Saccharomyces cerevisiae S288C: one gene and its partner. The protein of the gene in region 1 interacts with the protein of each later gene in a biochemical or structural test. Each region holds a gene or a part of one and is shown on either strand. Other genes may lie near its edges. The genes, in order: GON7 and PRK1.

The links.
Region 2: of the proteins of GON7 (region 1) and PRK1, one has a biochemical effect on the other in vitro, tested with the Saccharomyces cerevisiae proteins (one study listed by BioGRID).

The regions. Positions count from the first base shown.
Region 1 is NC_001142.9:68,470-84,319, forward strand, and holds GON7 (chromatin DNA-binding EKC/KEOPS complex subunit GON7), read left to right. Parts: upstream 1-14,978; coding exon 14,979-15,350; downstream 15,351-15,850. Other genes in the region: fatty acid elongase ELO1, read right to left, coding at 1-313; AAA family ATPase CDC6, read left to right, coding at 869-2,410; YJL193W (uncharacterized protein), read left to right, coding at 2,897-4,105; SOP4 (Sop4p), read right to left, coding at 4,241-4,945; 40S ribosomal protein uS11 RPS14B, read left to right, coding at 5,318-5,327, 5,736-6,142; 40S ribosomal protein uS8 RPS22A, read right to left, coding at 6,441-6,833; 60S ribosomal protein eL39 RPL39, read left to right, coding at 7,464-7,469, 7,856-8,005; tyrosine protein kinase SWE1, read right to left, coding at 8,334-10,793; alpha-1,2-mannosyltransferase MNN5, read left to right, coding at 11,686-13,446; ATG36 (Atg36p), read right to left, coding at 13,626-14,507; and 1 more. UniProt on the Saccharomyces cerevisiae protein: Component of the EKC/KEOPS complex that is required for the formation of a threonylcarbamoyl group on adenosine at position 37 (t(6)A37) in tRNAs that read codons beginning with adenine.
Region 2 is NC_001141.2:175,320-187,436, forward strand, and holds PRK1 (serine/threonine protein kinase PRK1), read left to right. Parts: upstream 1-8,617; coding exon 8,618-11,050; downstream 11,051-12,117. Other genes in the region: XBP1 (Xbp1p), read right to left, coding at 1-1,931; SGA1 (glucan 1,4-alpha-glucosidase), read left to right, coding at 2,685-4,334; FMC1 (Fmc1p), read right to left, coding at 4,453-4,920; glucose-induced degradation complex subunit FYV10, read left to right, coding at 5,108-6,658; BMT5 (25S rRNA (uracil2634-N3)-methyltransferase), read right to left, coding at 6,798-7,808; LYS12 (homoisocitrate dehydrogenase), read right to left, coding at 11,198-12,117. UniProt on the Saccharomyces cerevisiae protein: Protein kinase involved in the regulation of actin cytoskeleton organization and endocytosis. Phosphorylates PAN1 which disrupts the interaction between PAN1 and END3, and between PAN1 and SLA1. Phosphorylates SCD5.

The DNA of each region.
Region 1 (15,850 bases):
CAGAAGTCAACATCAAGTTATGGACTTGAGAAATAAATCTCAACTTGAGAGGTTTACATGACTTTACCAGGGACCTCCCGCCAAATATAACCACATAATACATGGCAATAAAAAGCAGTACCGGACGAGGTTCACTCAAAGGCTGCTTCCCAACGGTAAACTCAAAATCCTTTGGCTGGAAGCGACCTGCAGTGGCCCACCCAACCGCACGATTGAAATAGTCCCACAAATAAATATTAAAAAAAGGCCTATCTATTGTTGGGCGAAACCTAGAGGCTTTCTCGAGGCAAAAATTTTTCCAATCACTTACCATACTTGCTTGCAAATTTAGCTCTCAAGTTCCTTAAAATTGATAAGGTATCCTACCTTAATATTCATATCAGTTAGTCTTATATACTTCTACCTCTTTTTCTGGCTTCCTTTCTTTCCCTTATGTCCTTCGGTTTACTAATCCGTAAAGCCGACGCGGGTAAGCCAAGACCCTGAGTTTAGAACTAATATTTCGTCACGTCACGTAAGTGCAAGGTAATAAAAGCAGCAGAAATATCTGTAGTTTCAACAAAATATGTCTGGCTTGCGATTTGTTGTGTTTTGAAACTAGTTGCTAGTCTGCATTCCTTTGTTTTCCCTGAATTACCCAAAGAAGAAAGCGACGCGAGGCCTCACGCGTCGGAGTTTCCAGATCAGGAAATTACCCACTTAGGAAATTGAGTTGGCTGGCAGAAAAGATATAACGCCATCTTGAAAAATAGTATTAGTTAGTCTATTTTTTCATTTATATAGTAGAGGTATATTCTCTGGAAGAACAATTTTGGAATATTCAGAACACTGCGCTGCACTATTTTCATCAATAGTACCATATACGTTCATGTCAGCTATACCAATAACTCCAACTAAGCGTATCAGAAGAAATCTATTTGACGATGCTCCAGCAACGCCTCCACGACCTTTGAAAAGAAAAAAGTTGCAGTTCACAGATGTTACACCAGAATCATCCCCAGAAAAACTGCAGTTTGGCTCACAGTCTATTTTTTTGAGGACAAAGGCACTTTTGCAGAAGTCATCTGAGCTAGTCAACTTGAATAGCAGCGATGGTGCATTGCCAGCAAGAACAGCAGAGTACGAACAAGTTATGAATTTTTTGGCGAAGGCAATTTCTGAACACAGGTCCGATTCACTGTACATCACGGGTCCGCCTGGCACTGGCAAGACTGCCCAGCTTGATATGATTATAAGACAGAAGTTCCAGTCCCTCCCATTGTCGCTCTCCACGCCACGCTCGAAGGACGTGCTGAGACATACGAATCCGAACTTGCAGAATTTGTCCTGGTTTGAATTGCCCGATGGAAGGCTAGAATCCGTGGCGGTAACCAGTATTAATTGTATATCGTTGGGAGAGCCGTCCTCCATTTTCCAGAAGATTTTCGATTCCTTCCAAGATCTGAATGGCCCAACATTGCAAATAAAAAACATGCAGCATCTACAGAAGTTCTTAGAGCCTTATCATAAGAAAACTACGTTTGTGGTTGTGTTGGACGAGATGGACAGGCTATTGCATGCTAACACGAGCGAGACACAATCAGTTAGAACTATTCTTGAATTATTCCTTTTGGCGAAATTGCCTACTGTGAGTTTTGTGTTAATCGGTATGGCTAATAGTCTAGATATGAAAGATAGGTTTCTTTCCAGGTTAAATTTGGACAGAGGGTTGTTACCGCAAACTATAGTTTTTCAGCCATACACTGCTGAGCAAATGTATGAAATCGTCATTCAAAAAATGAGTAGTCTGCCCACTATTATCTTCCAACCGATGGCCATCAAATTCGCAGCAAAGAAGTGTGCTGGAAATACGGGTGACCTTCGAAAACTTTTTGATGTCTTAAGGGGAAGTATCGAAATCTATGAGTTAGAAAAGCGGTTTCTGCTTTCACCAACAAGAGGATCATTGAACTCTGCGCAAGTTCCTTTGACGCCAACTACTTCTCCGGTAAAGAAATCGTATCCAGAACCACAAGGTAAAATAGGCTTGAACTACATAGCCAAGGTCTTCTCAAAATTCGTGAACAATAATTCTACGAGAACGAGGATAGCCAAACTAAACATCCAGCAAAAATTAATTCTTTGCACCATAATTCAATCACTGAAGCTAAATTCCGATGCTACAATCGACGAATCGTTTGATCATTATATCAAAGCGATAACAAAAACTGATACTTTAGCACCATTGCAGAGAAATGAATTTTTGGAAATCTGTACAATTTTAGAAACTTGTGGGCTGGTTTCAATCAAAAAGACAAAGTGTAAAGGGAAAACCAAGAGATTTGTTGATAAGATTGATGTTGATCTCGACATGCGAGAATTTTATGATGAGATGACCAAAATTTCAATTTTGAAACCTTTCCTTCACTAGTCAGCTAATAGATTTATTTTTTCTTTTTTTTTTACAGTTCCACTTGCATCCCTCATTTTTCACATTCCTTTTTTTATAGAAAAGCATATCACTATATAAAAATTCTATTATAGTTGTAACAGCATAGCATATTATAGACTTTTTTTTTCTGGAAACGGTTAAACCGTTTGGCTGAGATGCAATGATATACGCAACATTGCATTCAAAGAAATTGCAAAAAAGACACAATAAAACGTAATTTGTACAAATATTTTACTATCATTAGCTACTGGATGCAGAATGGATGATTGTTAGGGGGAGGTGGGGTACAATTGTTTGTTTTTGATACATTTTCTCTTTCAAATCGCAACCAATTCACTCTGCTAATGTGATAACAATGGCGCCTGTCGGAAAGGTGAAAAAAAAAAAATGCAAACAAATAAATTGGCACGGTGTGACATATGCCTTCTATAATAATGAAGGAACTCGAAGAAAAAGGGGAAAACGATGTTTCAACAGCTGTCGGCATCCATTAGGCACAATGCACACATAATTTTTTTATGCATAAGTTGGTATTTTATTTCATCGTTGGCATCTCAGGTAACGAAGCAGGTACTAACGGTTTGCCCATTACCACTTTTTTTGGGTGAGTTTCAGTTCATTTATACTGCTGTGCTAGCATGGTTTACGTGTTATATTGCATATAGTTTCCCAGGATTCTATCGCATATTTCCTAATGGTACTTTTCCGGAATATTATATCGACGACAGAGAAACTAGCCGTGCAGCTAGGAAAGAATCAAAACTATCCTCCCTCATTATACCGCCCTCTAAACCAATCCTGCAAACAGTTCTACCTTTAGGTCTTTTCCAATTTGTAGGGAAATATTTTGGGCATACAGCTACCTCTTTGGTGCCTGTTTCCACGGTTGCAAGTATAAAAACGCTATCCCCCATGTTTATCCTTTTGCTCCAAAAGATTTTGAAAATATCCACTTTGAAAATTACTTTAACTCTTATCTTTAGTTTATGCACTTTAGTTCTTGGAGTTTGGATTATAGTTCAAGAAGATAATCGTTCACCGGCCTCTTCCAATGAGCTGAGAGAATTCTCTAAATACGGCGTAATATGCGCTATGATATCAATGTTCATTTTTGTCTTGCAAAATATATATGGCAAGACCGTGTTCACGTACAGATCTCAAACAGATGAATCTCAAAGTAATTCTGGATTCTCACGGCAAGAATCACCTTTACCCTTATATGAAAAGTTGGATGAGAAACTTGTTGCGAAAAAGAAACCTAAATCATATGACAAATTGACTTTAATGATTTATATTTCCCTTGTTGGATTTTGTTTATCGTTTGGCTGGTTTATCACTCTAGAATTTCCTGTACTATTTAGGTATTTTTTTCAAATTAACAGCTCTTCTACAGTAATAAAAGCTTTTCCAGTCTCTTTATTTTTACTGAACGGGACATTCCACTTCATTCAGGCAATGATTACATTTCATTTACTGGGTGAGGTCTCAACTTTAACATATTCAATAGCGAATCTGATGAAGCGCTTTGCCATTATTGCGGTTAGTTGGGTCTTTATTGGAAGAAGAATTACTTGGCTGCAAGTGTTCGGTTTGGTTCTGAACACATTAGGGTTATTCCTTTATGAAAGATGCACATCACAATCGAAAATAAAAGCGAAAATACGTCCTGAGTAGTTTAACATGATAGAATATAAATGCAAATAATATTTATTCCCTTTAGGAAATACGGGTGTTTTGAATTTACTTATCTGTACCATACATAAAATTTACATATAATAATAGAATCTTTATCAACACATAATAGTCACTCTACTTTGAGGCAACGGCAGCATACTTTTCTCTTTGTTTTCTTTTTGCCTCCTCTCTGATGGCTCGAGCTGTTTCGGGGTCCAACTTTTCTACTATGATTGGGAAAACGACAAGGGCAATTAAGGTAATAACGCCCGCCAGTTTCCAACGTGAGTTCAAAATATTACCCACAATACCTGTAGAAAAGATACTGACGTTTCTAGCCTGTAAATAAGATCTAATCGGGGCCTTATGTAAAAGCTCCACTGTAATATAAGGGTGCACCTTCATAGATTGTAATTTTTCTGGGTACGTTATATCTTTGGATGGGAAATATTCTCTTCCAAAAAAGTTCTTGAACGCGTTCAATTGTAAGGTGCCATTCTCTAAATTCTTGAATTCAATAAGAATTCTGTTTGGCTTCAGATTGAAGTCCATAGATGCTGGGTACATCACATAGTATGTCGTTTCATTAACACCGTCGTTTAAAGGGAGATTAGCGAATTCAAAGTTGCCTTCGTCATCTTGAAACATGGTCGTAGATGTGTAAGGATATTCTGTCGAAAAATTGCCGATCTGATAAAGTTTGAAACTTGTTCTAGTTGAAACAAAGCCGGTGATGTTACTTGCTGCTAAGTCTAAGCGACCCTTAATGGTCCCTCTCCTGGCCGTAGCACTGGCGACATAAATAAATGCACTGAGTAAAAGAACAATCTGTGAAAACATCGTCACACTGCTCTTTCACTTGTTGATCAAATTTACTTTGATGATATTTAATGGCTTGACAAATTCGTTCATCTTAATTTCATACATAATTTCATCCTGAAATCCTCGATCATTTTCGAGACTGTTTTTCGAGCTTGATTTTATATGTGGTGTAAACACATCATTGTACATCCTTGCACCACACTGAAAAGAATATGGAAAAAATTTCAAACTTTTTAATGGGTGATAGACTTGAAAAACAAAACGGAATAAAAGATATAGTCGCAAGAACTTGCCTTCTACGAGTATAAAAGCGGTACTATTCCTTCTGTATGCATCTTCATCGCAAGAGAGAAAAAGACTGAAATCAACAACTCCCAATAACAATTAAGAATGGCTAACGGTACGTGAAAGGGGTGATATCCTGTTTAAAACCATTTAGTTATTCTTTTTTTCAGATGGAGACTGTGATCGGGTAGCGCATGATGTTATTATTGGAATTTTATTTTTTTTGCAACTTTGAAGCACTCCTAACTATATTGCAATAGTGTTATGAGATGCTACTTATGTTTGTAAGGCCATGAAATTCTGTAATACGGAGTTAAAATTTCTGCAATAAAGCACTTCAATGCTATTGTGTTATAGAGGCTCTGCGCTCACCCTTAATACTGTATCATCTGTAATAAAGAATGTTTATCTTAAAAGGATTGTAACTAAATGGTTGTTAGATAGTGACTCATTCGTTTATTTTTTAATAATCGAAAAAGCAGAAGTTCTGTTTACTAACAACTATACCTCTTATCATGTATAGACCTTGTTCAAGCTCGCGATAACTCTCAAGTCTTTGGTGTTGCCAGAATCTACGCCTCCTTTAACGATACCTTTGTACATGTTACCGATTTATCTGGTAAGGAAACTATCGCCAGAGTTACTGGTGGTATGAAAGTCAAGGCCGACAGAGACGAATCATCTCCATACGCTGCTATGTTGGCTGCCCAAGATGTTGCCGCTAAGTGTAAGGAAGTCGGTATCACTGCCGTTCACGTTAAGATCAGAGCTACTGGTGGTACCAGAACCAAGACCCCAGGACCAGGTGGTCAAGCCGCTTTGAGAGCTTTGGCCAGATCTGGTTTGAGGATTGGCCGTATCGAAGACGTTACTCCAGTCCCATCAGACTCCACCAGAAAGAAGGGTGGTAGAAGAGGTAGAAGATTATGATTTCTTTTTTTTTTACTCTATTAACGCATGGAAATACGGCTTTACCTTCTCACATAAATATAGTTTGTTTAATTAATAAAGCCAATATAAACATTTGCATATTCGACTTCGTGCATGCAGAAATGCGGCAGATAAATTCATTTCTGTCTAATCTTTTGAACAGTTTTAAAGTACAAATATATTAGTATTTAACAGGAAAACTAAAAAAATGTATAATAAGAAATGAGTAAAGTTATGAGGCTATCTTGTGTTTATTATAGTATATAAAGCTACCGAAAAGGTTGTTGTAACAAGTAGCTTAGTAAACGAAACCCAAAATCTTACCAGAAACGTGCTTTCTTCTGGCTTCTTCATGGTCCATGATACCAGCAGAGGTGGTCAAGATGACGTAACCGAATTGTCTGGCTGGCAACAAGTTGGCAGTCCATTTTTCAATGTCACCAATCTTAACGTTGAATCTTGGGGAAATAACACCACACTTGTTCAATCTACCGTTCAATTGAACAACAATCTTACCAGATCTGTGGTCATCGATGTATTCAAATTCACCAATGTAACCGTGCTTTTGCATAACTTGCAAAAACTTGATAATGACCTTGGAGGATGGTCTGATTAAAACTTGACGCTTACCGGTCTTTTCAGCGTTGTTAATGGCATTCAAAGCATCAGCTAAAACGGAAGATCTGGTCATCTTGGATATGTATGTTGGTCTTGTTTTATAAAAAATACTAGAACTGAAAGGCCATTAAAAAACCTTACAATTTAAGAATTGAATAGTCGATTAAGATTATTTAGATTGAAATTGACTAACTGCAAACCCATATTCAAGAATTATTTCACATCTTCCAGCGAGTAAACATGCCGCTGGTAATCGCGCGTCCTCAATATTTGAGTTTTTCAAATAGTGAGGTGTGGATGTATAGAGGAATTACACACTTTTAAGTATGTGATGTATGGGCGCACAGTACCAATTTAACTTTTTTTTTTTTTCATTTTTTAGCTTGATTTTCAAAAAACTTATGGGCGTTTTAGGCTCCGGCTCAAACTACCACCACCACGCGGCAGGCCGAGGCAAACAGTACGCCTTGGCGGGGACGCCGAAGCGACTCCTTCTGTTCCAAGCTCAATGGTCCTTGCGTTTACGCTCGCGCGTGGGCTAACTAACGCAATTCGGCTTTTGGGCTGTCGAGAACCGAGAATTATTCTTCGCCTTGATAGATACTTTAAAACTTCTACTTAATATACTTTCTACAATTTTTGGTACATTCATATTATACTGAAAATTCGAAAAAGACAAGCAAATAAACACAGATAGATCAACATGGCTGTATGTTAGAAAGATATTATAAATCCCAGTTAGATGCTGAACTGATCAATAGCAAATTATAAACCACATCCATCTAAATGACCTTACCACCTACAATTTGGATTTGAAATAGAAGCAATGTGTAAAATATAGGGAAAGGATTAGGAGTGTTAACCATACTAAAATTTTTCTTATCCGAAACAGAAATCTAAAGTCGCCACTACGCAGATTAAAATATGGTCATAAACTGCTTATTCTGAGAACTTTTGGTGGTCCAGCGTGGTTTATGTCAGGTGGTATTGCCTTGGATCCGTGAATGCATCACATTGATGAGTTTGAACATTGTTACTAACATTTTTTACAATTGTACACTTCGTATGTGCACGATATGTTTCCCTTTTAATTAGGCTCAAAAGTCTTTCAGAATCAAGCAAAAAATGGCTAAGGCTAAGAAGCAAAACAGACCATTGCCACAATGGATCAGATTGAGAACCAACAACACTATCCGTTACAACGCTAAGAGAAGAAACTGGAGAAGAACCAAGATGAACATCTAAGCGAAGAACATATTTATGCTTCAAACTTTTTGTCATTTGTCTTCCATCCTTCCCTTATTCTCAATATATATGTAATACGTCGTATTTGATATATATATATATATATATATAATATAATTTAACGGTTGTTATCTGCTACATCTGTAAAATAAAAATAAAAATGCTTGAAGCGGCTGTACTTAAAATAAACTCATCTAAGGTTTTACATGGTATTACTACCGGACTGCAATTACACTCTTTTTCGTTATTGGATTATTTATACAATGCGGCCCATAAGCACGTGTGGGAAAAAAGTATGTAAATAAAACAAGGTTTTTTGTTCCATTTATCATATAAAAAATTTTGGCTTAGGTCCAAAGTCGTCTTCCTGGATAATAGCACCTGCATTGCGTGTCATTTCTACATACAGGCATTCCTCAGTTTGTAAGATTTGATTTGCCGTGGGCCTTCTCTCATAATTGGGCTCTATCATCCATCGTACTATTCTCTCAAGTGATTCACCATCAATAAGAAATTTCGGTACCCATGCGGGAATTTTAGAACTTTTATGCAAAATAAGACGATTCTTGGTAGCGGCAGTATTGACATTATTATTATCGTTGCCATTATTCATATTAGGGTTGTTGATATTACTATTGTTATGAACAGTGGAGGTGCCAGCGTTGTTACTATTACCACTGATATTGTCTCTTTCAAAATCAAATAAATCATTTGTATCTACTTTCGTAATGTCTGAAAATAATGATTCAGAATGAATATCTGTGGAACTTAATCTTCCTGCATCCGATAAATCACCCGATCTCAACTTATGCCATGCGTTGCCATTGTCAGGTAACACAACGTTCGCTGCAATTTCAACAATCATCAGACCCAGGGAAAAAATATCTGCCTTGTAATCGTACGTACAATCAGAAATGATTTCTGGTGCAATATATTCTCTGTCACCTTCATTTTCAAAACTTTTATCCTCCAACGGTAAATGAGTAGCCATTCCAAAGTCACCTAGTTTTAGGTTACCTTCAAATGTGATCATGACGTTTGCGGGTTTCAAGTCCAGATGCACAATGTGACAAGAATCATGGATGAATCGTAAAGCCAGGCTTAATTCCACGATGATTTTCCAAATTCTCCAATCTTCCAACCTTTTTTTCTTTGCGATAACTTGCTCTTGTAAAAATCCATCCAAATTACCATTTTCGCACAATTCTGTCATAATATAGTATGAATTTTGAAACTTCCAGGAACTGATGTAATCGATGATGTATTCCTTCCCTTCTTGATCCATTGTAATTTGGTTTGTTACCTCGTTTAGTATTTTAATTTCCAGTAATATGCGTTTCAAGGAATTATATTTGTTTGGTTTAATGGCTTTGATTGCATACTTTTTGTTTGTTTGGGCAAACGTAACCTGGTAGACCGTGGAAAACTGGCCTTTACCAATGGAATGCACATTCGTAAATTTTTCGAAAAGATGGGAATCTGGATTTGCTGATAACTTATTTGAAGAGATTAGACGCCTTTTGGAATTTAACGGCGAAGAATCGGTGGAAGATATGGAATGCGTCTCTGCACTTGTTGTGTTTGTCACGATGGCAGAGGAGAGTGACAATGGTCTGCTTTCTCTATGTGTTTGAGATGTTGCCCCAATAATAGATTTTCGTCTTGTTGGAGTGGAGATCTCTTCGTCAGTGTCATTGTCATAGCGTCCACGAAATTGATAAGGTTGAGGGTTCTTTCTAGTTGAATGATGACTTGATATTATGATTGGAGGTGGGAAATTCTCGTCCGTGCCGTATAAATCATCTTTGAATTGTTGTAAACTGTTTGTTAGCTCTCTATTTTTCAAAATAACCGAATTCCTTGCTCTTTTGATTTTTTTGAACTTGTTAGAATGCAATGTTTGTGGAGAGCTGTTGGTAACCAAGCTATTAGTGGGAGACAGGATGTTTGTCTGGTTATTGTGACGATCATGTGCATGATATTTTGCCTCGCTCAGTGGGGATGAGTCTATGGTTGGTACATGGATGGAAGGTAAAGCTTTCGAAGACGGAGAATCTGAAAATAAAAGGTCTTCTTGTAAATTATTGTCTTCAACAAAATTTAAAGGGGAAACACTTAGAGAAGACGATGCATTTTTCGAACTCGAAAGGTGGACATGCTTATGGTCTCTTCCCTCCACTAAGGGTGATTTTTTCACTGGTGTTTCTGGTATCCTCAATTTCGCAGGGTATAACGAAGTGTCCATAGACATTTTAGATACGAGGCCCGAAGACGTAAAGGCTGATTGGTTAGGTTTAGCGACGCTATATGAAGAGGATGAGGATGTATTTTCAGTGCGAGCATCATTTTTCGGAAACCATCGCTGGTTCCATTGTTTGAGAGAAATAGGACTGTTCGTTTTTTCCGCAGATCTTTTTGTAATAGGAGTAGTAACACTTTCATTTTCATGGAACGGAGACCACCTTTTAATACGAGAATCCACGCTTTCCTCATCCTTGCCTTCTTCCTCCTCTTCTTCCTCTTCTTCAATTTTCCCAAGAAATTTGGAGTTAGCCTCTGACAAAGCTGTATTACTTAATGACAGGTTCAAGGTCCCCGTACTTCTTGTCAATTTGTTGTTCGAATATGGATAAAATTTCAGTTTATTGGTCGGGGTGCTACCCCCTATAGCAAAATCATCACTCTCGTCTTCGCCGGCCTGTTTGCCAAACATCTTCTTCCCCATAAACTGGAGGTTCTCCGTGTCCAGCATTTCGAAGTCCTCTTCATCCTCGTCCAAAGAACTCATCTGTTCTCGTGTGCGCCTGTGTGTGTTTACTTTTCCCCAGCACTACGCAATCAAAAATAGTAAGACCTGTTCAGTAGTAATCCTTTTTTTATTGGACTAACTGCGCAAGATGATGTGCAGGATAGTTAACACACGCATACATACAAAAAAGAGCCTCTTGGACAACCTTTACTTAATACACAGGGGCACGCCAATGTTCAACTGTGTTGTTGATTTCTTATCCAGCATTCTTTTACTTCTCTGCATTTTTTTCGCGTCGCGTCGCAAATTGTGATGGTTAAAAGAAAAATGAAAAAATATTTTTCGCGTCGTTATCACCCGGAGGAATAAAAAAAAGAAACATACACATCACGTGACCACAAGAATGTTAGAAAGGCTTACCAGTACTAGAGACGTTAATAAATTGCGAATAGCCCCCTATCTCCCACATGTTGGCATCTGTGAGGTGGAACCTATTTAAAGGTGCCACATTTCTTTCCTTAGAGGACGATGGTTGCAAGATCAGCACAAATCCATAGTTTGATGCATGGAAAGCGAAGCACTCTAACAGAAGTAAGATAATAAACAATCTCACGATTCTACTGATTTAAGTGCAACTAGCTCTTGGGCTTCTTTTGGTTGCCAAGTCGGAATAGACGACAGATGCATGTTTCGGTGCAGAGTTCAGAGAGATAAGTGCCTTCTTTTATCTTTTTCCCCGTTCTTGCGGATTTTTTTTTTCACTTTCTCATCGGCGGGGAAAAAAAAGTGTAACAACTAAAGGATCAACACGGCTTTAAAGTGTTTTATATATACGCAGATATGAAAAAAGCATTTTCACGGTTATTGGAAATTTTTATTTTACGACTGGTTCCTAGCACAACAAGAGGATATACTAATAGTTCAGGTTACAATGCTGATTAGGTTAAAGAAGAGAAAAATCCTGCAGGTCATCGTGAGCGCAGTAGTGCTAATTTTATTTTTTTGTTCTGTGCATAATGATGTGTCTTCTAGTTGGTTATACGGTAAAAAGCTTAGATTGCCGGTTCTAACAAGGTCGAACCTTAAAAACAATTTTTACACAACACTGGTACAAGCCATCGTGGAAAACAAGCCGGCAGATTCGTCTCCGGACTTGAGTAAGTTGCATGGGGCGGAAGGGTGTAGCTTTGCAAATAACGTTGCTGCACACGACTCTGGACACGATAGTGACTTAAGTTACGAGAGCTTGAGTAAATGCTATAATTTGAATAAAACAGTACAAGAAAGCCTACGAGAAGTGCACAGTAAGTTTACAGACACCTTATCAGGGAAACTGAATTTTTCCATCCCACAAAGAGAGGCACTTTTCTCAGGTTCTGAGGGCATTGTCACCATTGGAGGTGGAAAGTATTCTGTGCTCGCGTATACGATGATCAAAAAGTTGAGGGACACGGGTACTACATTGCCTATTGAAGTCATCATTCCGCCTCAGGACGAAGGCGAGGATGATTTTTGTAAGAACTGGTTGCCGAAATTCAATGGTAAGTGCATTTATTTCTCAGATATCGTTCCTTCAAAGCCATTAAGCGATTTAAAACTCACGCACTTCCAGTTGAAAGTCTTTGGGTTGATAATTTCCAGTTTCAAGCGTATTATCTTCTTGGACGCAGATAACTATGCGGTGAAAAACCTTGACCTTGCTTTTAACACTACATCCTTCAACGATACTGGCCTGATATTGTGGCCCGATTTTTGGAGACGTGTCACCCCTCCCGCCTTTTACAACATTATAGGATCTAGCATTAACATCGGCAAAAGAGTCCGTTTTGTTAGTGACGATATTTCCCCCGTGTCACGTTATGATCCATTTGTTAGTAACTCAAACGATTACACTCCAAAGGAGAGACAGGAGCATTTCCTGAAACATGTTCCCTTACATGATCTGGACGGCACGATGCCAGACTTGAGCTCTGAATCAGGCCAGATGGTGATTGATAAGATTCGCCATTTCAACACTCTATTACTGGCGCTATACTATAATGTTTATGGGCCTACCTGGTATTATAAGATGATTTCTCAAGGCACTGCCGGTGAAGGTGACAAAGACACTTTCGTCGCTGCTGCCCATGCCTTGAATATGCCATACTATCAAGTGAGGACTAACTTTGAATTTGATGGTTTCTTCTATCAAAAAGATGATTACAAGGGTCTCGCCTTGCTCCAGCATGATTTTGAACAAGATTACAAGCAATACCAAAAGGCGCAGCAGAAAGTTAAAGCCAACATTGAGGAATTTTCCAAACTGGATCCAGATTATACTTTGGACAATGGTTTCTTGAAAACTTTGATGGTTAATGATGACGGTTCTGATTTGGATATCATGTTCATTCATGCCAGTTTCTACAAGGCAGATCCATGGACTCTTTATCATGAAAACAGATTTATCGGTCCAAATGGCGAACAAGTACGGGGCTTCAGGAAGCCGCATCGCTATGGAATGGATTTTGAATTGTTTTTATTCAATGATATGAGGGGGTCCTTCTGTACCACTCCGAAAAGCCAAGTTATTAAATTCAAGTATTTTACCGATAAAGTTAATACCCCAGAATGGGATGCAATGTGTGAGTATTTGACCAATCATGTTAATTATCTGGAGAGCACACACAAAGAAGCTATGGGGGAGAAAAACTAATGAAGTGATTAACTATAATAATTTAATAATAACTCGCCATCCGACCTTGTATAATATAATGTAGCATATATGTGCACGGATATATATACATCTTAGAAAAAAATGAAAAAATGAAACCAAGAAAAAACTAACTGATGGTGTTCGGACAACGTTTTAGAATGAGGGTATCTAACTTTCTTCTACCATTCTCTGTCCAAAAACCTAGAAAGTAAAGTCCAGCCAAACCAAGATGTGTTTTCCAACGACGAAGACGCTGCGCTTGGTGAACGGTTTAATGTTTCTCCAGTGCTCTCATCTGTAAATCGTGACCGCGATGACGAATCTATATCTACGTCTGACAACCTGTCGAATTCAAGAGGCATCGAGTAGTAATTGAAAATAAAGTCACGCTGGGGGAAAAAAGATGGTATATCGTCAAATATTCTTTCATGATGGTATGTCAATAATTGCCGGCGAGTTTTCTCGCGGTAGCATGTTCTTAGAATTGGATACAAGTCTCTTGATAGTTTCTGCACAGCAATTCTTTGGGCATTTGTAAGTTTCTTTAATTTCGCAGAGGTATAAAGTTCTCTTTCCTTAAAGGAATAAACGGGAAATCCATGATTGACACCGTCGCTTGATTGAGGGACATTTTGATGCAGCTCATTAAATAAATGGCTGCCCAAACACCACTCATCGATCCGGTCAGAGTTACTAGACGATCGAATGTTACGAAGAGCGGGCGCCGGCTGCTCTGAGGGCGGAGAATTTTTATTGCTGTCACTGGATATCGACAGTATAGCAATTTCGTCAGAAGGAACTTCGAAGGCACTACTTGCAGATTCCAGTGTCTCATCGCGACTAATGGCAGTATTTGTACATTCTGGAGATAAATCTGGGTTATTGATAACCCTTACATCATTGAATGACTTTAATCTATGGAAGTCTAGCTCAAATTCCTCTTCTGAGAGTTCCAGGACTTCAAATAGCGATTCTTCATCGTGAATGCCGTTATTAATTCTGGGTTGAATGCGAGCAGACCTTGACCCGCAATCAACCTGGTAATTGTTCACAGATGCCATTAATGAGCTGTACTGACCACCAAATTTTAGTATTTTAAGCCCTGAATACAACCTTTGCTCCTTGTCGACATTCGTAAGTATATAGAAATCTATCCCTTCAAAAGATTTGTATTATTCGGGATTACGCTACAGCCGCACGTAGATCGTACGTGTATAACGATGTTTATCTTGGTGAAAGTATCTTAACGCGAATGCTCTAGTGATGGCACAATAGAATAGTGTCTTAGCACCACAGAGCGTGATTTTTTAAAGCTCTATATTAGCAACTACGATAGGTGTTTATTTAGTTTCTTTGTTGATCTTCCTGTTTCCAGTGTTACGGCCTTGTCAGGTCAAAAATTTTACCCGGATCTCTAGTAATGAGTAACTTAAGAATATCCCATCTGATTATTGGTAGTTTTACTGAACCAAGTTAGAGCTAAATAAATATATACAGCCGATAGTGCACTGGAACCTTATCCTAATATCTCAATGAAACTACCGGTAGCACAGTACAGTGCACCAGATGGTGTGGAAAAAAGTTTTGCACCAATACGCGATGACCCTCGATACATGACCACAGAGGGAAGGACAACTGGGCCCAGTGACCATGTGCTAAACGCTGGCCAAATCGATAGAGACAAACCTTCAGAACCGGAACGCACGAAAGATGGCTCACAACTGACATACTTAGGCCAGCTGCGCACGCAGCTGACGGGGCTACAGGACGATATTAACGAGTTTTTGACAGGAAGAATGGAATTGGCAAAAAATAAGAAGAAAGCCGGCGCAGACGAGAAGCGGATCCAGGAAGAGATTAACCAGCTATTAGATGGTGGTGACGGTGACGAAGATGCTGTTTAGGCAACGATATGTAGCGCTAGAGAGTGTATATACAAACAGAAAAGAGTCTAATGATAAATGACAAATATTTCGTTACAAGTGATAATTGTTGAACTAGGAAGAGTTGATATAAAAAAATAATAAACACACGATGGGATACAGTTAAGAAGGATTGATCGACTCCTAAATGATGCGAAGAAAGCCAATTTTCAACTTGGAATCATCCTGCCGGTTTGTTGTTGGTGTTAGCTGTGTTAGGACTCGTTAAAATGGCAATCAAACCAAGAACGAAGGGCAAAACGTACTCCTCAAGATCGGTGGGTTCGCAGTGGTTCAACAGGCTTGGTTTCAAGCAGAACAAGTACGGAACTTGTAAATTTTTGTCGATAATAACGGCCTTTGTTTTTATCCTCTATTTCTTCTCCAATCGCTTCTATCCAATTTCTCGTTCCGCCGGTGCATCATATTCTCCATCCCATGGGCTGTATATTAACGAAATTCCTGCCTCCAGCCGGTTGATT
Region 2 (12,117 bases), on another chromosome or scaffold:
TTTGTTTTAAATTTGAAATTGTTCAGTGAATTGTTCGCCCTTGGCGAAAAAGAGGTGTCCATATTGGTATTTGTATTATGAGCTGGTCGTTGGTTTTGTTGCTTATAAACTTCGCTAGCATATTTCAAAAAATGATAGTGATCATCACCATAAGGTTGAGGGAAAGTGGGAGGAGCAGGCGCGATTGGTGAAGAGGGGACGTTGTAGTGTCTTGGAGACTGGTACTGAGAAGGAACTGGGTGAATGTGGTCGTAAGTATAGTTTAGCTGCCGCTGTGGCGACGAGAGCTGGTTTGGTGGGGGTAAAGAGTATCTTTGCTGTGGTATATAGATATTTCCCGGATATGAATACCGGTGACCGTGGGTGTTGTAGAAGGATGCTAGGTTTGACAAAATTTGCACCGTTGGATCTCTTGGCCCTATTGGAGAAGAAGTTTGAGAGGTGTATGTGGACGACTTTTGCCTTTTGCTGTTTTTTTTAATGAAGTTCTTGTCATTTGAGGAAAGGCCCAAGTTTTCTACAAATGAGTCGAATGAGGGCAAGGCGTCCTCAATAACAAGTTTCTGCGCTTTGGAATGGGACATGGAAGTAGATCTTTGTCTTGGCCTGGGTCTGGGCTTCTGCCTAGGTCTTGCCACTGCAGTAGACGTAAAATTGGTACTTGTATTAGCAGCAGCAGTAGCAGCAGTAGCAGCACCTGCACCAGTGGTAGAACTAGCAAATGTAACGTTTTGATGAGCCAAATACCACGATTCGCAATCTTTGGGGAAATCTGGACCAAAAATAGGCACCAGAAAGTATCTGATCGGAAAACAAAACCGCAGGCATAGCAACCTTGAGATTTCCATCGGCAACCAAGTACCCTGAATTTTGATGTAACCACCTCTTATTCTTTTCGTAAAATTTGCCGGATTTAAGTTGGGCAAGTCTATTTGGTCAGGACCAAGTTCATTGATCAGGAAGTCTTTGTAAGACTGGCAAATAAGGTCCCGCAGTTCGGGCTTGATGTTGTTCCAATGAAAATCGATGTAATTGTTTGCCTGCGTTGAAGAAGTAGATGAAGAAGACGCATTGGCGTCCAAGAAGGTAGACCCTGTGGATGTCCGTCTCTTTGGCGGCGAAGAGGTGGAGGACGACAACAGTACGCTTGAAGATTCCTCAGAAGTGAACGAACTGTGATTGTAAAAGCAAAAAGATAGAATTTTCTCGAATTCAGCCTTGCAAAAGAACTGCTGTTGGCTAGTGGAAACGCTGTCACCTCTGGGCAAGTTTATAAGCCCCTTCATAACATCCTGATACAGCCGCCAGATGCCCGTCATGAACACATAGCCGGAGTCATGCGACCATATTACGCAGTTGTTAGGGTTGATGAGCTTGTCATTGATCAGATTATGGTCCATTTTGGTCAACTTGAACTGCTGATTCTTTGTCAGCGAGGAGGTGGCATTTTCACGCGATGCTGTTGACAGAGCCTTCTTTTCTTGCTTGGTGGGTGATGCTGAGACTGGTGTTTTGTTAGACCGGGAAGGTAGTATGATCTTACCCATCAGAATATTTTTATCGTGCAGATGCAAGGCGGAGTGAGGAGTGGCGGAGCTAGCGAGCTGCGATAGCAACGTTTGTTCGTGGACTAGGCTCTGAATTGTTTGTAGGTTGGGAAACTGGTACTCGAAGCAGTTCAGAACGTTCTGCGCCGCCGCCTCTTCCCCGTTCCCTGCGTCCCGAGCACTGATAATGAAGTTTGGATGTGTGAACTGCGCAGCAATGGAGGATTTATAGTTAACCTTTCTAATATTGAGTCCGGCGCTGAAACTGGCCGGCGGCGAGTCCCTATCCAGTACGCTGACGAGGTAGAGACGCTGATAGTCGTCCAGGGGGTTGTCCGTTAAGTGTACCGTGTCACTGTTAATGCTAAAAGCGGGATATTTCATGTTGGAGAAGGTGTCTATGATAAGGTATTTTGAGCTTGCCGTTGTGTGGGGAGAAGAACTGGATGCGTACCGAGAACGAGCAAGTTAAAACACTAGTACACGAATAATAGATATATATATGTATGTATATATATGTTGAAGTGTGTACACACGTACACGCACAAGCTACAGACGCCACGCGGCCCGGCATTCATATATGTACATACATTTATGCACATATATATATATATATATATGTATATGTAAATGTATATATACAGCTTGTGATTTCGCGCGCCGAATGGGCTGAAAAGCACAGTATAGTGGAGAAGAAGAGAGAGGAGAAGGGGAGAGGGGCAATAGCAATGGATGTGGTAGAATACAGGGAAGGCCAAGCTGTTGTTCAATGGATGCGGTTCGAGGCCCAGCGCAAGGGGGGCGCTTCGAAGCATAGAACATTATCCGCGGAAACGGGTATTAGGGGTGAGGGTGAATAAGGAAAGTCAGGGAAATCGGGCCAGAGTAACACCCATTCATAGCACTCGTACAAGGTGCTTTTAACTTGCCTGCATGTGTGGAGTCACAAATTAGGGGACTCAGGCACAGAAGCAAGGGTCCTTTTTTGGTTCCCTGTTTCCTCCTGCGCATTTCGTATTTTTTCTCATCTCTTGGCTCTGGATCCGTTATCTGTTCTGTTACACAAGAAATCGTACATTTACAATATAGTGATAATCGTGGACTAGAGCAAGATTTCAAATAAGTAACAGCAGCAAAATGGCAAGACAAAAGATGTTTTATAACAAATTACTCGGCATGCTCAGCGTAGGATTCGGGTTTGCTTGGGCGCTCGAGAACATTACTATATACGAATTTGACTTTGGCAAGGGCATTCTCGATCAAAGCTACGGCGGTGTATTTTCAAACAACGGCCCTTCGCAAGTGCAGCTGCGGGATGCAGTCTTGATGAATGGGACAGTGGTATACGATTCAAACGGCGCTTGGGACAGTAGTGCGCTGGAGGAATGGCTCCAGGGACAGAAAAAAGTTTCCATCGAAAAAATATTTGAAAATATTGGGCCCAGCGCCGTGTATCCGTCTATTTCGCCTGGGGTCGTGATTGCGTCACCATCGCAAACGCATCCAGACTACTTCTACCAATGGATAAGGGACAGCGCGTTGACGATAAACAGTATTGTCTCTCATTCTGCGGGCCCGGCAATAGAGACGTTATTGCAGTACCTGAACGTTTCATTCCACTTGCAAAGAAGCAACAACACATTGGGCGCTGGCATTGGTTACACTAACGATACAGTGGCTTTGGGAGACCCTAAGTGGAACGTCGACAACACGGCTTTCACGGAAGATTGGGGTCGTCCTCAAAACGATGGGCCTGCTCTTCGAAGCATTGCCATCTTAAAAATCATCGACTACATCAAGCAATCTGGCACTGATCTGGGGGCCAAGTACCCATTCCAGTCCACCGCAGATATCTTTGATGATATTGTACGTTGGGACCTGAGGTTCATTATTGACCACTGGAATTCTTCCGGATTTGATCTATGGGAGGAAGTCAATGGCATGCATTTCTTTACTTTACTGGTACAACTGTCTGCAGTGGACAAGTCGCTGTCGTATTTTAACGCCTCAGAACGGTCGTCTCCCTTTGTTGAAGAATTGCGTCAGACACGCCGGGACATCTCCAAGTTTTTAGTGGACCCTGCGAATGGGTTTATCAACGGCAAGTACAATTATATTGTTGGGACACCCATGATTGCCGACACATTGAGATCCGGACTGGACATATCCACTTTATTAGCTGCGAACACCGTCCACGATGCGCCATCTGCTTCCCATCTTCCGTTCGATATCAATGACCCTGCCGTCCTGAACACGTTGCACCATTTGATGTTGCACATGCGTTCGATATACCCCATCAACGATAGCTCCAAAAATGCAACGGGTATTGCCCTGGGCCGGTATCCTGAGGACGTATATGATGGATATGGCTTTGGCGAGGGAAATCCCTGGGTCCTGGCCACGTGTACCGCTTCAACAACGCTTTATCAGCTCATTTACAGACACATCTCTGAGCAGCATGACTTGGTTGTCCCAATGAACAACGATTGTTCGAACGCATTTTGGAGCGAGCTGGTATTCTCCAACCTCACGACTTTGGGAAATGACGAAGGCTATTTGATTTTGGAGTTCAATACACCTGCCTTCAATCAAACCATACAAAAAATCTTCCAACTAGCTGATTCATTCTTGGTCAAGCTGAAAGCTCACGTGGGAACAGACGGGGAACTAAGTGAACAATTTAACAAATACACAGGGTTTATGCAGGGTGCCCAACACCTTACCTGGTCCTATACTTCATTCTGGGATGCCTATCAAATAAGACAAGAAGTTTTACAGAGTTTGTAGACAAAAAAAAAAATAAAAGGAAAGCGAGAAGTATACACAAGTGTATTTCCTAGATATTTACATCAAATATATATATATACTTATTTACAAAACTCTGATATTATAAATTGATTAGATACTATGTCGGAACGTCCAGCCCAACCACGTTTGCAGTTCTTTTCACTTTCTCATCCTGTGTCAACTTGTTGCCAGGATTGTATCTGTCGACCAGCTCCTCGTATTCTCTTTGGTTGTCCAAGAACTTGATGATGTCCAAAGCGTGTTCGAATATCTCGTCAACGTTTTGTCCCTGGGCCACCTTTTTCTCCCACTTTATATCGTTTTGTAATATGGAACGTAATGACTTAGAGTCGGCTATAAACAAATTCAAAGATCTGTCGCTTACCGGATCTAGTTTTTTCCATTTCTCTAACTGTCTGTTGATGTTCTCATGCGAGTCTCTCTGATTTTGTTTCTTAGCATATTCCAACTTTGTTATCATTGCCTTTCGTAGATTGCCCCAATTGACTATCTTGCTTGGCCTTTCATATTTCAGAATGGCTCTTATGAGTCCTCTATATGTGCGTAATGTTCTTGGTCTATCCATTTCCCTGGCACTCTCTCTTTCTCTCTCTTTTCAGCTTTTTGTTATCCACTTATCGCTGCAAATGAAACTCTAGTGCAATTTGAGATATTCACTTTTTGCAAAGGCGAAGAGAAGGGGGTGGTTAAATCTACAATTTCATACATAAAACAGAGAAAATGATTATAAATTATAGGAAAGTAGGTAAGCCATGGCAGAGAAATCAATATTTAATGAGCCTGATGTGGATTTCCATTTGAAATTAAATCAACAATTATTTCATATTCCTTATGAACTACTGTCCAAACGTATCAAGCATACTCAAGCGGTAATTAATAAGGAAACCAAATCACTACATGAACACACGGCCGCATTAAATCAAATATTTGAACATAATGACGTTGAGCACGACGAGTTGGCACTAGCAAAAATAACTGAAATGATTAGGAAAGTTGACCATATAGAAAGATTTTTAAATACGCAAATCAAGTCCTACTGTCAGATTTTGAACAGAATTAAAAAAAGGCTGGAGTTTTTCCACGAACTGAAGGACATCAAGTCACAAAATTCAGGAACATCGCACAATGGAAATAATGAGGGTACCAGGACTAAATTGATACAGTGGTATCAGAGTTATACAAACATTTTAATTGGTGATTATCTGACGAGGAATAACCCGATTAAATACAACTCGGAGACAAAGGATCATTGGAACTCTGGCGTAGTGTTTTTGAAACAGAGCCAACTGGATGATCTCATTGATTATGATGTCCTCTTGGAGGCTAATAGAATTTCGACTTCGTTACTACATGAGCGTAATCTCTTACCCCTAATTTCATGGATAAACGAGAACAAAAAGACACTGACCAAAAAGTCCTCTATATTAGAGTTTCAAGCAAGATTGCAAGAATATATTGAACTACTAAAGGTGGATAACTATACCGACGCTATAGTATGTTTTCAAAGATTCCTTTTACCATTCGTTAAGAGCAACTTCACCGATTTAAAATTAGCATCTGGACTTCTGATTTTTATCAAATACTGTAATGATCAAAAGCCAACTTCTTCTACCAGCTCTGGATTCGATACTGAAGAGATTAAGTCTCAAAGTTTACCAATGAAGAAAGATCGAATATTTCAACATTTTTTTCACAAATCTTTACCTAGAATTACCTCCAAACCTGCGGTGAATACAACAGACTATGACAAGAGTTCCTTAATAAATTTACAAAGTGGAGATTTCGAAAGATATCTGAATTTATTAGATGATCAAAGATGGTCGGTATTAAATGATTTATTCTTGAGCGACTTTTATTCCATGTATGGCATATCACAAAATGACCCTTTATTGATATACCTGTCACTAGGTATATCGTCTTTGAAGACAAGAGATTGCCTGCACCCTTCTGACGATGAAAATGGAAATCAAGAGACGGAAACTGCCACAACAGCAGAGAAAGAAGTTGAAGATTTACAACTCTTTACGCTACATTCACTAAAAAGGAAAAATTGTCCCGTTTGCAGTGAGACTTTCAAACCAATAACACAGGCATTACCATTTGCTCATCACATTCAGTCTCAATTATTTGAAAATCCAATACTATTACCAAATGGAAATGTTTACGACAGTAAAAAATTGAAGAAATTGGCCAAAACATTGAAAAAGCAAAACTTAATTTCTTTAAATCCAGGTCAAATTATGGATCCAGTTGACATGAAAATATTTTGCGAATCAGATTCTATCAAAATGTACCCAACCTGAAATAGTTTCAAGCTATATGCATTTTTTTATATAAAGATTTGTCCAACTTTCACAACTATTTTACAGATACTTACGCTATATAAGAATTAGGGAAAATGAAAGTTCTTTCATCAACATGGCGACATTCTTCCTTCTGTACTTAGTCTGAATCAGAATCTGTGTCTTTTTTGCTTTTACGGTTATGTTTTGAACTATTCGAGACATATTTACTAAAGATGTAGAACCTAGCATCACGTTCTTTCGCAGGTTTTGTAGTATCTTGTTCGCTATTCGTTCTCCGGTGATGATATCCTGGAAAATTTTCCCATTGGAATTTGCTCGATCTGCTCAGAGTTAGTCCATTTTTTTTGGCTAAAAGTTTGATTTGCCATGAATCATAGGGCTCTCCATCGAAAAGGGACAGTATGATGTTACCATAACCTTCGGCGGTCAATTTTTTAGCCTGGGGAGTATCCTCATTAAGATCATAGCCTTGCGTATAACGAAGAGTATCATTTTGAATTTTCGTGTTTATAAGATTAAATAATTGTAAGGAATTTTGGAAAAAGTTAAAAATTAAGTCCTGATGCTCTCTAATATTTCTTTCTTGATCCTTAATACCTTTTCCATTATGGGGAAAATTGAAAACTATATTTTGTAAAGGTTTGTTACCCCAACGATGATCGCTAAGCCTGTTGATTATTTTAAACCAAGTATTATTTTTGGAAATTTTAAAGCTCTTTACGAGCTTCGTAACGTCAATCTGGAAAAATATCGGAATATTTAGATCTTTTAAGTACTGGTAATTTTCCTCAAAAGTATGCGGATATTTCAATTTCAGCTCATTCACAGAATTATCGTAACTTGTTATGATTAAATTGTCACTTTCAATATAGTTTTGTTCAACAATGGATCTGGCAAAAGAAAAATCTCCTTCACCACATAGCATCAAAGTTTCATCCTTCTCAAAGGGCATAACCTTCCCTTGATTAAGTTTTTGGAATTCTTGGTTTCTCTTCACGGTTTTGTTATTAGCGCTCGAATTTTTCTTTCTTAGTTCATGTTTTTGCTTACTTTCAATATTCCTCACTAATTTCACTTTGGCCTTGTGCCTTAATAATGCACCTTTTAGGCCTTTACTCCCAATCTTACCCTTCAATTTCCTGGCCATTGATAATTTTAGGTTATGATTGGTGTTAATCTATGATTTTAACGTTACTAAACGTTGTCAGGCTCCAATGAATTTAAGTAATGGAAGGTTTTCTTTTAAGCTCATCGCATCGCCAATTCTTTTCTTTTTTTTTTTTTTTTTCCGAATAATTTACATTCTTTCTACAGGAGAAAAATATGGGAGCCAGCTTGAAATACTAAAATCATTAATAATACTGATGTACATGATCCAATAACAAGATCAACTACGACTTTTGTTATTACTGATTCAGAAGGAAAAAAAAATTGACTTCCAAGAAGTCATAAAAATAAGTGGTCTCTAGCGGGATCGAACCGCTGATCCCCGCGTTATTAGCACGGTGCCTTAACCAACTGGGCCAAGAGACCAGGAATTTGTTGAAGTATTTCATGTAAATTTAATATTAGTACTGATAGAGATTTCCGATATATATGATCGCTCTCAATTATTTTATATCAAGTAAATGTCAATGTCGTTAGTTTGCACTAGCTGTTACTATTTATTCTTAGTAAAGGTTTTTAAAAAAAACTGTAATTATAACCAGGCAGGCGTATGCAGAGCGAAGGTCTTGGAAAAAGAAAAATATAGAACAGTACATTTAGGAAACGCTAAAAAAGTCACCAAGCAGGCAGGTCACAGGCTCCACTTGAACATAAGTTAGTTCGCTAATACAGGTTGAATTTCCATTGTGGGATAGTTTATTATCTTCAGCGAAAAAAATCTTTTTTGATTGAAGTGTTGATCAAGATTATTTGTAACCTCCTATCTTTAGTTGAACTGATCCAAAAACAATGAATACTCCACAGATTAGTCTGTATGAACCCGGGACAATATTAACTGTGGGATCTCATCATGCTAAGATTATCAAATACCTTACGAGTGGTGGATTCGCACAAGTATATACTGCCGAAATTTCCCCTCCTGACCCATATAGCAATGCTAACATAGCATGCTTGAAAAGAGTCATTGTCCCCCATAAACAGGGTTTAAATACCTTGAGAGCTGAAGTGGATGCTATGAAACTCCTTAGAAATAATAAGCATGTTGTTTCTTACATAGATTCACATGCTGCAAGGTCTGTAAATGGTATAGCATATGAGGTGTTTGTGTTAATGGAATTTTGTGAACGTGGAGGTCTTATAGATTTTATGAACACCAGATTACAAAATAGATTACAAGAATCTGAAATATTAGAAATTATGAGTCAAACCGTCCAAGGTATAACTGCAATGCACGCTCTGCAGCCGCCATTGATTCATAGAGATATTAAGATTGAGAATGTACTTATTTCTCATGATGGCTTGTATAAAGTTTGTGATTTTGGTTCCGTTTCCGGTGTGATAAGGCCACCTAGAAATACTCAAGAGTTTAATTATGTTCAACACGACATCCTAACAAATACTACAGCTCAGTATAGATCACCTGAAATGATTGACCTGTACAGAGGGTTACCTATCGACGAAAAATCTGATATTTGGGCTCTTGGTGTCTTTCTTTACAAAATATGTTACTATACTACGCCGTTTGAAAAAAGTGGTGAAGCCGGTATACTACATGCAAGGTATCAATATCCATCCTTTCCGCAGTATAGTGACAGGTTGAAAAATTTGATACGTCTTATGTTAATGGAAGCACCATCTCAGAGGCCAAATATTTGTCAAGTTTTAGAGGAGGTTTCCAGGTTACAGAATAAGCCTTGCCCGATTAGAAATTTTTACTTGTTAAGAGCAATGAATCAGAATGCGAATACCCAATTGGCCGGTGAACCGTCTTCGACAACTTATGTTCCAACACAGAAATTTATTCCCGTACAAAGCCTTCAGAGCATCAACCAGCCACCAAATATGATGCCTGTAACTCACGTCAGTACTACTCCTAATTTGGGTACTTTCCCTATATCTATTAATGATAATAACAAGACAGAAGTAACGGCGCATGCTGGCTTACAGGTTGGAAGCCATTCAAATTTGACTAGTCCCTTAATGAAAACAAAATCCGTTCCACTTTCTGATGAATTTGCATCACTATATTATAAAGAGCTACACCCTTTTCAAAAGTCTCAGACTTTCAAATCAGTAGAAAGTTTCCAATCCCCACAAAGGAAGTCTATGCCTCCATTATCGCTTACTCCTGTTAATAATGACATTTTTGATAGAGTTTCGGCAATAAATCGTCCAAATAACTACGTTGATTCTGAGACGCAAACTATAGATAACATGGCTGTGCCAAACTTAAAACTATCTCCCACCATTACAAGCAAATCACTAAGCTCCACAAAAGAAATTGCTGCTCCAGATAATATAAATGGAAGCAAGATTGTGCGTTCACTAAGCTCTAAGTTAAAAAAGGTTATTACTGGTGAATCTCGCGGCAATTCTCCGATTAAATCAAGGCAAAATACTGGTGATAGTATCAGATCAGCATTTGGTAAGCTTCGTCATGGGTTTACAGGAAACTCAGTGAACAATAGCAGGTCTGCTTCCTTTGATAATAACAATGTCAACGGCAATGGTAACAATACAAACAGGCGATTAGTTTCGTCTTCAACCTCCTCCTTTCCTAAATTTAATTCTGATACCAAAAGAAAAGAGGAATCAGACAAGAATCAGAGACTGGAAAAACGTCGCAGTATGCCTCCTTCAATTTTATCAGATTTTGACCAGCATGAGAGGAATAACTCGAGAACTGGATCAAGGGACTATTACAGGTCTCATTCTCCAGTGAAGAAAACTCAAGCATCAGCTAAAACGACATCAAAGCCTACTTTGATACCAGATAATGGCAACGTTAATATAAATCAAGAAAAGAAGGAATCAATTCAAAGAAGAGTGCATAACTTACTAAAGAGTTCTGATGATCCGGTAACGTATAAATCCGCATCCGGGTATGGTAAATATACAGATATTGGTACAGAAACTTCCAATCGACATTCAAGTGTAAGAATAACACCAATCACAGAAGAAAAGTTTAAGAAAACCCTTAAGGATGGTGTTTTGGACATCAAAACGAAAAGCAACGGTAAAGATAAATCAAGACCACCACGTCCACCACCAAAACCACTACATTTAAGGACAGAAATTCAGAAGATAAGAAACTTTAGTCGTTTACAATCAAAGAAACTGCCGATTGAAAGAATTTCCAGCGAAGCCACAGAAACTATTGTTGATGTTAACGTAGATGATTTAGAAGCCGATTTTAGAAAAAGGTTTCCCAGCAAAGTTTAAAACTTGCTCTCACACATAATAGACTATGTAATATTAAAAGTCATACAAAATGTACAAATTTTCTTTCGTCAATCATTTGAAATTTTTTGAAATATATCTTGTCACTCATTCATTTATTTATTCGTTTCTATTTTCCTATTATATGCTCTATAATCTCGACAAAACGTCGTCAACGACTTGTTGAGTAGAAGCCTTACCACCTAAATCTGGTGTCTTGATAGAACCCTCTCTTAAGTTAGCATCAACAGCCTTGTAGATATCTTGGGCAGCTTCGTTGTGGCCCAAGAATTCCAACATCAAAGCAGTAGATCTTATAGTGGCGATTGGGTTAGCAATACCTTTACCAGCAATATCTGGTGCAGAACCATGGCATGGTTCACCAATGACAATTTCTGGACCTACGTTGGCGCTTGGAACAACACCTAATGAACCGACTAAAGCAGCAGCACCGTCAGATAATATATCCCCGTATAGGTTTGGTGCCACTATCACATCAAAACATTGTGGTTCTCTGAACAGCCTATAAACCATGGAATCCACAATTTGTTCGTTATATTTGATTTGACCGTACTTGTCCTTGTTAGATTCGTAGACTTCCTTACAGATTTCTCTGAATAGACCATCACTTTGAGATAGAACATTTGATTTATGAGTCACTGTCAAAGTGGCTTGGCCTCTTGTTTGTAATCTTTTCAAGGCAATATCTAATGCAATGGTTGCAATTCTTCTTGTTGCAATTTCGGATATTCTCTTTGTGGCATCAGCAACTCTTGTACCTGTGGCCTTGTCAATGTATGTTTTTTCAATTTTAATGTACAGGTCCTCAGTATTTTCTCTGACGATAACCATGTCAATTGGTTTACCCTTTTCTCCCTCTACAGACTTAACAGGACGAACATTAGCGAAAAGGCCCATTTCCCTCCTTAGAGCAACAATTGGTGAGGAGTAACCTTCCACCTTAGTAGTTGGAGACTGAACTGCACCGAAAAGAGCACCTTGACATTGTTCCTTCAACACTTTAACAGTCTCATCAGGCAACGCCTTTCCTGTTTCTTGGAATGTTTGGA